2 linked regions of the Schizosaccharomyces pombe genome follow. The gene in region 1 interacts genetically with each later gene. Each region holds a gene or a part of one and is shown on either strand. Other genes may lie near its edges.

What was found.
Region 2: mutations in swi3 (region 1) and chk1 impair growth when combined (synthetic growth defect), as found in Schizosaccharomyces pombe (3 studies listed by BioGRID, with this or other methods).

What each region holds. Positions count from the first base shown.
Region 1 is NC_003423.3:3,090,127-3,093,369, reverse strand, and holds swi3 (replication fork protection complex subunit Swi3), read left to right. Parts: upstream 1-1,513; 5' UTR 1,514-1,842; coding exon 1,843-2,009; exon of another isoform or gene 2,010-2,067; coding exon 2,068-2,446; 3' UTR 2,447-2,511; downstream 2,512-3,243. Other genes in the region: isn1 (IMP 5'-nucleotidase), read right to left, coding at 1-57, 108-1,030, 1,080-1,287; SPOM_SPBC30D10.05C (sepiapterin reductase), read right to left, coding at 2,630-3,243. UniProt on the Schizosaccharomyces pombe protein: Forms a fork protection complex (FPC) with swi1. FPC coordinates leading and lagging strand synthesis and moves with the replication fork. It is required for programmed fork-pausing which is necessary for mating-type switching.
Region 2 is NC_003421.2:1,057,967-1,065,165, forward strand, and holds chk1 (protein kinase Chk1), read left to right. Parts: upstream 1-1,829; 5' UTR 1,830-2,053; coding exon 2,054-2,121; intron 2,122-2,166; coding exon 2,167-2,408; exon of another isoform or gene 2,409-2,454; coding exon 2,455-2,883; exon of another isoform or gene 2,884-2,921; coding exon 2,922-3,129; exon of another isoform or gene 3,130-3,175; coding exon 3,176-3,365; intron 3,366-3,410; coding exon 3,411-3,707; exon of another isoform or gene 3,708-3,752; coding exon 3,753-3,809; 3' UTR 3,810-4,018; coding exon of another isoform or gene 4,019-6,229; 3' UTR 6,230-6,477; downstream 6,478-7,199. Other genes in the region: gid1 (putative Ran GTPase binding protein), read right to left, coding at 1-223; ubiquitin-conjugating enzyme E2-C Ubc11, read right to left, coding at 924-1,005, 1,056-1,291, 1,461-1,550, 1,601-1,628, 1,677-1,771; protein Meu27, read right to left, coding at 4,019-6,229.

The sequences.
Region 1 (3,243 bases):
TAAAAACTCAATCGTCTCGTGGGGGCTGGATACCCAAACAGTGGTAGCAGCAGCTCTCTTTGAATAGGTGGTTAGTAATCTTCAACAAAAGTTTATTTCAAACTTACCGCTTTATAATCATTGTTACCAGCTGACAAGAATTGATCACCAACATGCAGACAGCGAGAAGGATGGGAAATATTAAAAAAATGCTGAAGGCATAAAACACCCAATTTCTTGTCACCAATATCACACCAAATATCATTTCCACCATTGAAAGCAGTAAAAGGAACTGAGAAATTTCGTATCTGCAACGTTGCTTGTGTCTCCAAAACAGCTTCCTCCAGTTGCTCCCTTCTCAGTTTTTGACCAAGGGAAGGTACAAATCCAACTGATCTTTCTTTACGAACTATTTTTGCATCAATGTTAAGTCCTTGAATGCAAGAACGAAGAGTTTCTTCAGCAGTATCCAAAATTTCGAGAATCTCATCATGAGGCCATGTTTTCATCACGGGAAGCATCCATGAGTCAGCATCCACCCATTGTAAACCATGCAGTGGGTCATAAGCAAATAAGTAATTGCTCTCGCCTCCTAATACATGAAGTTTCCGTTTCTGCCCATCCTTCAAGTCGCTGTCTTCGATTGCCTGCAATAATCCTGAAAATCTATCAGTATACTCCTGGCCAGTACGACTGGGATAGCCAGCAGCAGTAAGAATGATGACATAGATCCCCCTCGAAAGTAACTGAATCAAACGGGATATAACAGGATTGTCAGGAAGCAAAGGCTGCCCATCTTCGTACAGAGTTACATCTCCATCAAAACTGACCATATCCAAGCCATTATCCGCAAGGTAATTCAATTGAGCACCTCCTAATATTGCCCTGACATCGTTAAAACTCGGTGCCACAAAGCTTCGTTTAGCTAGACAAAGCTTTGGTTCCAACGCGTACATAGCTTTCACTAATGGCAAAGGTGTCCAAAATATGGTGATCGATGGAACAAGCATCTTTAACTGGCTATAGGATCCACCTTCTGAAACTATTTGAACTATCAATGAGAAAGGTTAGAAAATTAAAAGAATGAAGGGGAAACTTACTATGAGCCTCAATAAGTTTTTCCACATCTCTTAAAATTACAGCGTAACGCTCAAGCGTTTCCTGCTCTTTTTCGCGCGTTACTAGTTTCTGTGAAGGGGTTCCTGCCTGTAAAACAAAAGGAACTGACAACAAACCTTTAATCCATTCAATAAAATCGTCCTTCCGATGTTGCTTTAACGCATACTCAACACGATATCTAGAAGCCATTGCCTAAACCTTTAATGACAAACACTTATTCAAAAAAAGAAATCTACACGAATGCAAGAAATTTGAAGGAAAGTATGTTAATTGAAAGAGAAAGGGTAAAAGTTGCTTTATTATGCTTTCCGAAACGATTCAAAAATGATTACGTTGAGAATTGTTATACTAGTATTAGCAGCGAGCACTATCACTCAAATACGTCTATCACAATTCCAAAAATTAGCTATAATTTATGAGCATTCTTAACAAAATTTTATAAAAGTATATAGTCCAGGTGTAACATGAGCCTTCTGAACTATTCTTCCTCTACACATTTCTAATCCGCGTTAAATAAGGAATTTTCTTTCATTAGTAAATTATAAACCTTTCTTGCTGCGCAGTTAAATTTGAAAGGTTCTATTCGCTTTTCATTAGCAGTAAAGTCAATAGTACATAGAAAAATTGCTAGATTAACAGAACTTTTGAAGCGAAACAGCAAGCAAATCGATATTTATTGCATTCACTAACTCTCTTTTGCGAAACATACAAGCAAATATATATTTTAAAAAAACACCATAAGAAATGTCTACAGCTGCTTCTGATTCAGGTGTTGAAAAACTCGTCGAGGAAAACAAAAGGGAAGAGGTGAAAAAGAATGAAGAAGAAAAAGAATTTGATTTAGGGTTAGAAGAAAATCCAGATTCTGTAAAAAAACCTCGCAAACGGTTGGCAAAATTTGATGAAGAAAGGTAAGAATTTGGTCGGTTTTCGGAAAATAATTATTGACCACTCGTTTTCCCTATTTAGATTGATTTCTGAAAATGGAATTCCAAAATTAAGGAAAATGATGCGCAAAGTTAAGTTAAAAGGAAAGGGTCATGAGGCAAAAGACTTAAAACAACTATTGGGAATGTATCATATATGGACTCATGAGTTATATCCAAGAGCCACGTTTGATGACTCAATATCGTATCTTAAAACTCTAGGAAAACACAGATCCGTCAAGGTTCGACGTCGTGGTTGGATTAATGAAATTGCTGTTGAAAATGGTTCGGACTCTAATGCTTCATTATTTACTGGTCCATCTTCCAATTCATTAGTGAATTTGACGAGCGGAGATCCATATGTTCAAGATACAGCTGATGATGCTTTTGTCGCCCAAGACAACGATACCCAATTAGAATAGTCACCATTAATGAATGATTGAGATGTTGTTGCAGCTTTGTTTATCAATATTAGTAATCATGATCATTTTTTGGGACTATTTTCAGCTACTTTTATTTGATGTAATGTTTAATTTATTCATTTTGTTTTATTTAAACGAACAATTGTAGCCTCTAACTCCGAAATTCAATAAACTATAGAACATCTAGACAAATGATTTCCATTCTACGAATTGACCAGTAAGCTTTGGATTGTTATTCAAGGCTAGAAAAGAAAGAGCTTTGGCGATGTCCTGAGGAGCCACAAGTTGACCGGATGTTTTAAGTTCTTTGAAAAAATTATGAGTATCTCCACCCATGGCTTCTTTATTGGAATCATTACGGATACTAACTTGCATAGGGGTATCAACAACTCCCGGACGTACTGCCACACTCATTATATCAGGCTCCTCGCTGCCAAGGTTCATGACTAGCATGTTGATGGCGGCCTTTGAGCAACAATATGCAGCCCACGCGGGAAAAACACGAACAGCAGCGCCAGAGGATACAATCACAATAGTACCCTTGGTTTTACGCAAATGCGGGATTGCATACTTCACTGTTTCAACCACACTGAAAAAGTTGATATCAAACAACTTACGCCATTCATTGATATCTGCATCAGCGATTTTGGCTATAGGTTCAAGGACACCTGCATTTAGAATAACCGAGTCCAATTTTCCAAACTTTTTAATAGCAGTTTCGATACTAGCTTTTCCAACCTCCGTAACGTCACCCTTCACGTGAACAAATGAGTCAGGATTTTGAATAAGCAAAGTTT
Region 2 (7,199 bases), on another chromosome or scaffold:
AATCTGACTTATCGTTGGGATTCCATGAAGATGGAATGGCTTTCGGCGTATTTGTTACATTGCCCTCCCTTGTCATGTCAAACTCTCGTAAATACTTCTCCCATTTCAGCCATCGTGGGTCACTTCTAAGCACATTTTCTCCGTAATTGGTTCCTTGTAAATACAAGGGGAGATTGTCGAAGTTAATCGGCTGTTTTTCAAGATTCTTTGGTGTACTAGTCATTCGCAGGTATGCTCTTGGTAGCATATAAACAGCCAGTTTTAGTAGCTTATTCAGCTATCAGTTTAAATGTTCAATTTTCTAATCAGTTTTTCTTTTGTAATTAAATACAAATCTTTTGTAATAATAATTGGTAAAACTCTTAAATTTTTAAATGACGTGTAAATTTCAGCAACTCTATAAAATGCTCTGAGACTGAAAAGATACTTCACTATACGGCTTCATAAGGATTAAAGGCTCAAAATTAGAAATACAAATATTAGGCTGTATATACAGTCCTATTACTAATCAGAAAAAAATTCAGGCACAACATAACATTGATACTTGTCTTGCGATAATACATAACACAATGACATTGAGAATCAATAATAATAAAATAGTATTATAATCTAACGGAAAGCTAAAAAAACGACTGCATTAACGGAATGCATTAAACAAGAATAGCTTTAATCGAGCATCATAATAACAACTTCAACTTCTGGAACTAAATAATGATAGACGGTCCTTAAAAAACCATTCGGTGGTTTTCAGGAGGTTGTGGCATTGCATGAAGGAATTGCTTAATCGATGAGATGAAATAATTTCAACTTCCATTATCAATGAAGAAAGTTTAACTAAAGACATTTTTTCAAGCATTGAATAGGAAAAGAAAATCCATATGACTAAACAGAAATGAAAATGAGTATGAAATAGACCGGCCTAACTAAATTTCATCGATTTCTTTATATCTCTGCATTAAAAGACGTTTGTACTCGATAGGGTCTTTACTCCACAATTCTGCAGCTCTAAGAATTGTTAATAATCAAAAAAGGTAAATGAGATATTTTCAACATACTGAGCATTCAAGGGAGAAGCATTGTTTGGCTCACCCAGCAGACTTTGTAGAGATAACAAAATTGTCTGTACGTTATAGACTGCTGACCATTTATCTTTTAAAATGTCTAAACATATGTTTCCACTCATATCGACATTGGGGTGCCACATTGGTGAAGTAAAAATGATAGTTGGAGGGGAATATGGGTAATTAGCTGGAAATGACATTGAAATTTTAAATTTCAATCCTTCATAGTACTATTTTCGTTACGTTAGTCGTATGAAAAAGAAGAAAGAAGAGTAGACAGTTATGAAAATGTAATGACAAAGATGTGTATTAATTTTCCATTAAAGTGCAGCTACAAGTAAGCACACCAAGCATTATTCATATACTTTAAATATTAAGCTTTCAAAATAAAAGTCATACCGTATCGCTTGGGCCGGTAATTGTGCCAGCCCAATGTAGCAGGTTAGAATCAGAATCTGGAAACGCACTAATTCCAGGAGTATTGGACATCTAGTCATAAAACCCTAGTTAATAACAAAGTAAAAAAGCTTATTACAAACCATTAAACTCATTAATTCGCTTCTCAATCTACAAATGCATTAGAGACTTTTTTCCTAAAAACTGTTTATTTTTTACCGTTTTGTAACGCTATGACCGTCAACAGCCATGCCAGCAGAAGAAGAGTTTTTAGAATTAGTATGAGGGTTCTGGTTTTGCATATCAGAATCCATTCCTCAAGTTGTTACTGTAGTTTCTCAATGAGTACGTGGTGGTAGGAGAGTAAGTTATAAACACAACACAACATGTGCTAATGTACACAAGTAAACGAAAACCGGATATCAAATTATAGTCCAATTTTATATCATTATATAGATTTAAAACTCATTTAAAAATTACCTTAATTTAATCTTTTCCAGTCTTTGATGATGTTAAGACTGTAAATAATACACATGCCAAAATTTGCAACATATGCTTGTGTTATATTATAATCTTCTTTCCCTTTACACCAAAGAATGGCTCAAAAATTAGATAACTTTCCTTACCATATTGGTAGAGAAATAGGTACTGGGGCTTTTGCTTCGTATGAATTTTGATTTGAAAAATACTATATACTAACTTAAGCAAGCGTCCGTTTATGTTACGATGATAATGCTAAAATATATGCTGTCAAATTTGTCAATAAAAAACATGCTACTAGTTGTATGAATGCAGGGGTATGGGCTAGAAGGATGGCTAGTGAAATACAACTTCACAAACTATGCAATGGACATAAAAATATCATTCATTTTTATAATACAGCAGAAAATCCCCAATGGAGATGGGTAGTACTTGAATTTGCTCAAGGTGGTGACTTATTTGACAAAATAGGTGGGTGCATGAACCTTTCGTTTTTACTAACGGACTTACAATTTAGAGCCTGATGTAGGTATTGATGAGGACGTCGCTCAGTTTTATTTTGCTCAACTTATGGAAGGTATTTCCTTCATGCACTCTAAAGGTGTCGCGCATCGAGACTTGAAACCTGAGAACATCCTTTTAGATTACAATGGTAACTTAAAGATTTCAGACTTCGGCTTTGCATCTTTATTTTCCTATAAAGGTAAAAGTAGGCTTTTGAATAGTCCAGTGGGTAGTCCACCATACGCTGCTCCAGAAATTACACAGCAGTATGATGGTTCAAAAGTTGATGTCTGGTCCTGCGGTATAATTCTTTTTGCTTTGTTATTAGGCAACACACCTTGGGATGAAGCAATTAGCAACACTGGTGACTACTTGCTTTATAAAAAACAATGTGAACGCCCGTCTTACCACCCATGGAACTTGTTGTCTCCAGGAGCCTATTGTAAGTCCTGACTGAAATTCCTTTAAACTAATGATCAGCGATTATCACCGGAATGCTTCGAAGTGATCCATTTAAGCGCTACTCTGTCAAACATGTTGTACAGCACCCATGGCTTACCTCAAGTACACCATTTCGAACTAAAAATGGGAATTGTGCCGATCCTGTAGCATTGGCATCAAGGCTCATGTTGAAACTTCGTATTGATTTAGATAAACCACGTCTTGCCTCATCTAGAGCATCTCAAAAGTAAGATCTTGCACAGTTGTTTCATATTTCTAACTCTTTCAATTAGCGATAGCGGTTTTTCAATGACACAGCCAGCTTTTAAAAAAAATGACCAAAAGGAGTTGGATCGTGTAGAAGTTTATGGCGCCTTATCCCAGCCAGTACAACTTAATAAAAATATTGACGTTACTGAAATCCTTGAAAAAGACCCCTCATTGAGTCAGTTTTGTGAGAATGAAGGTTTTATTAAAAGATTGGTATTATTTATTTAAACCTAAATTTTTTCTAACTATATGAAAAAGGCCAAAAAGGCTAAGAATTTCTACGAAATTTGTCCTCCTGAAAGACTCACTAGGTTTTATTCTAGGGCGTCGAGAGAAACCATTATAGATCATCTTTATGACAGTCTACGACTACTTGCAATCTCAGTGACTATGAAATATGTTCGAAATCAGACCATCCTTTATGTTAATTTACATGATAAACGGAAATGTCTCTTGCAAGGTGTTATTGAACTAACTAATTTAGGCCATAACTTAGAGCTTATAAACTTTATAAAGCGTAATGGGGATCCTCTTGAATGGAGAAAATTTTTTAAAGTATGTCTTTATCATAGGGATTTCATATACTAATCCATGTGAAAGAACGTTGTCAGTTCAATAGGGAAGCCGATTGTTCTTACAGATGTTTCACAAAATTAATTGCACATCTTTTGAAAGGTCGTGCCAGTTCGTTTGTAAAAGAAACCTGTTGTTTGACTTCGTTGTGAATTTATTTTCAATTTTGTGGTAGTACAAATGATATCCTAGGGAATAGGATTATTAACGCTTTGTCAAGCAAATATCAATGGTTGCGAATGCTGAAGATATATTATTAGCATAAGGATAGTTCTTCCGACTGGCCATGCCGTTTAATACATCATTGTACCCAATATTCTTTTCTCACAATTCTTTCTTCTTTTTCTCTTTTTTAGTGAGATATCTGACGGCTCATTTGATTTTAAAAGGGATAACTCTTCTGAAATAACTCTTTCAAACGATTCTAAAAGGTCTTCATTTTCTTGGTCGGAGTATAAAAACTCATCTTCTTTACAAAATAGTAAAAGGTTCTTTTTTGTGAATTCTTGTCTCTCTTTGGCTTCCAGGTAAGCATGCAAAGGAAAATGTGACATCGATGAACCAGTACTTATCAATGTAGTTATCCATAAAATATCGTCTGGAGTCTCTGCAGACATTAACATGTCTTCTCTTGTAGCCTCATCTACTTTTAAAAACTTCTTTCCGTGAAGTACTTCGGGAAGCTCTAAGAAACAGTTAAAGCCCTCACACACGATATGTAGCCAGCGATGATTTTCAGTAACAACGTATATATCCGAAGATTCAATTAAATGCATCCGGATGTCTCCTATTCTCTTTTCGGCTGCTACTTTGTGAACAGGTGTTAGTTCTCCTAAACTCACCTTTTCATTCACTAGTCGTTCTAATGCTTTCCATAGATATGTTTGGTGAGCAGGAGGATAAAGATCATATAGCATTAGCTGATGAGTTAATACCTTGATGTCCATTATCCCTTTAGACAACTTTAAGTGAAGCCTTTTAATACAGCTGTTCTTGTTTACAAGTGATAGCATATTTTCAAGGCAGCTATTAGTTATTTGAGGTTTCACTAATGTTTTTGATGTTCCATTTTTAGTATCGAAGACATTCATCAAGTTTTTATCTTCGTGCTCAAAGATGGTAATAGTTACTGTAGGTGGAAAAAAGGCTTTACTCTTGAATTGAACATCTTCGATACATATATCTAGGTTATCACAAAAGAAGTTTACCCAAGGAATTTCAGTAGAGCACATGTCTGATACTTGGGCAAATTTGCAAAAGCTTGGGGTAATAACCTTTTGGTCACTGAAAAGAAACTTTGTGCATTGCTGTGACAAGTCGAGGACCCTTTCATTATCTTTTTTTTCTTTTATTGTAGCCTGTTCGTTTCTAGAGCTTTTGGATTCGAGTACACTTTCATATTTCAATTCAGAATCATATATTGGCGATACTTCACTGGAAGCGATGAGGTCGGAATATATAATCTGTGTTTCTTCTAGGTCGGGAAATTCGGTAAAATCTTTTACTCCTTCTATTATGGCTTGTTCATTTTCAAAGCACTTAGATTCGAGTATATTTTCAATTGCTAATTCAGAATCATATATCGGCGATATTTCACTTAAAGTCGTGGATTCGGGATATAAAATCTGTGAAGATAGTGATAAGTCAGAAAGCTCAGAGCTCTGTTTTATATCTTTTAATTCAGCATTTTCTGAGTGGTTCGGTTTGTGGGTACCTTTAGGTGCTGATTTGGAATTATTAATTGGCGCCAATTTGCTCAAGGTTGTAAATCTACAGCTTAGAAGCTGTGGATACCGAGGCTTAAATATATCTTTATCTCCCGTATTGCTTTCTTTCAATAGTGCCCTCTTCGGTTGAGTTAAATGCGAAAATGCCTTTGTTGCTTTTATTGCGGATGTAACCTGACTAATGGAAGAATTTTCGTTAAATTTTTCAGGTTTTGTTTGGTATTTACGAGCTGCCAAATGTAATTTGATGTTACTATTCGTTGAAGATGATATTGATTCCTTTTTATTGTATGCAGCATTCCAGTATTGGGATAAACTTTTAAACGGCGAGCTATTAATAGTTGAAAGTTTCGTCTGGAGTTCTGATTCCATAAAAGAGGTGCCGCCCAATTGCAGTATACAAGCTATGAATGTTATTGGCTTGCTTACGCCGAGCTTGTCGAAAAGGTTATTAGCCTTTGAAGGATTTTGGTTTGAAGACTTATTTTCCTGTTGACTTAAGAAGCCTTCTTCATTTTTTTTTTTTAAAGTATAATTGTTCTCTATTGATTTTGGCTCAACTTGGGGTTCTAATGGCATTTCTGCCATGCTTTCATCGTTATCAGAACCCATACAGCAGAGAGGAGCGCAAATTTTTAGGATCTTTGATTTAAAACTTGTCCAAGAGCTACCAGAGCAGTGAGTATCACATCGGTTACTTTTTCCCTTTTCCTGTATTTTATCAGGACGAAAGGCACCTGATATTTTAATCTCTGGATAAGCAATTTTACTGTTCATTACGAAGTTACTTGGCTCTTTTGAGGCTTGAGTGATTGCCAGTTGGATAACTCAGTAATTAGAGATCGTGTTCAATCTCTTGAAGTGTATACAAAGGTTGGGTAAAACATGTTCAACCTTGGGTTATTTATATTAAAAAACAATTCATTTCGTTTATATTAACACATTGTTTTATCATAACTAATAATTTATGAAATCCCTCACAATAAACAAACATCGAATGATAATTTGATGCTCACCTAACATTTGCTTAAAAAAGTGTTAAGTAAACATTTAATATTACTAAAAGATGATCATTTAAAAATAAAAGCTTTCGCTAACCATTTGCATCCTGGATAAATAGCTCAAATAACAAAGGATTTAGATTAACTGAATAGTAATAATATCCTTAGCTAAGCCTTTGAACTAAGCCTAAATAAACAACACCAATTACTCACTATTTACAATGGATGTTTGACTTGTAACCAATAAGGAGGCAAGATTTACTAAAGACAACCAAGTATAATGTTGTAAACAAAAATAATAAACAAATCAACATTGCTGCAATTATACATTCGAAAAGAATCATTTAACGCAATTCTGAGTTAAAGGAAAATAATGTGTAAATAAACAAACGAAAAAGAGTGGAATACTAGCAACTGTAAATAAACAGAAGTTATTTTTTAGTGATCGAATTATATTGTATTTATGTTGTCAAAAGTTATTGATTCATGAATACCCCCGAAAATATCTTTCTGAAGTAAAAATTTCAGAAAATAGAAAGTGTTTTATTTTCGTTCGTATGTTAGTACGAATATCAAATTTCCAGTTTCATATTGCGTGACCAACACATTATTTATTAAAAATTTTGGACAAGCCAGAACTCGAATCTGGGACCTCTTCCATGCTAAGGAAGCGTGATAACCATCTACACCACATGCCCATGGTTGATTTTTACTCTATGTTAGTCGATTATTACTTCCTTTACTAT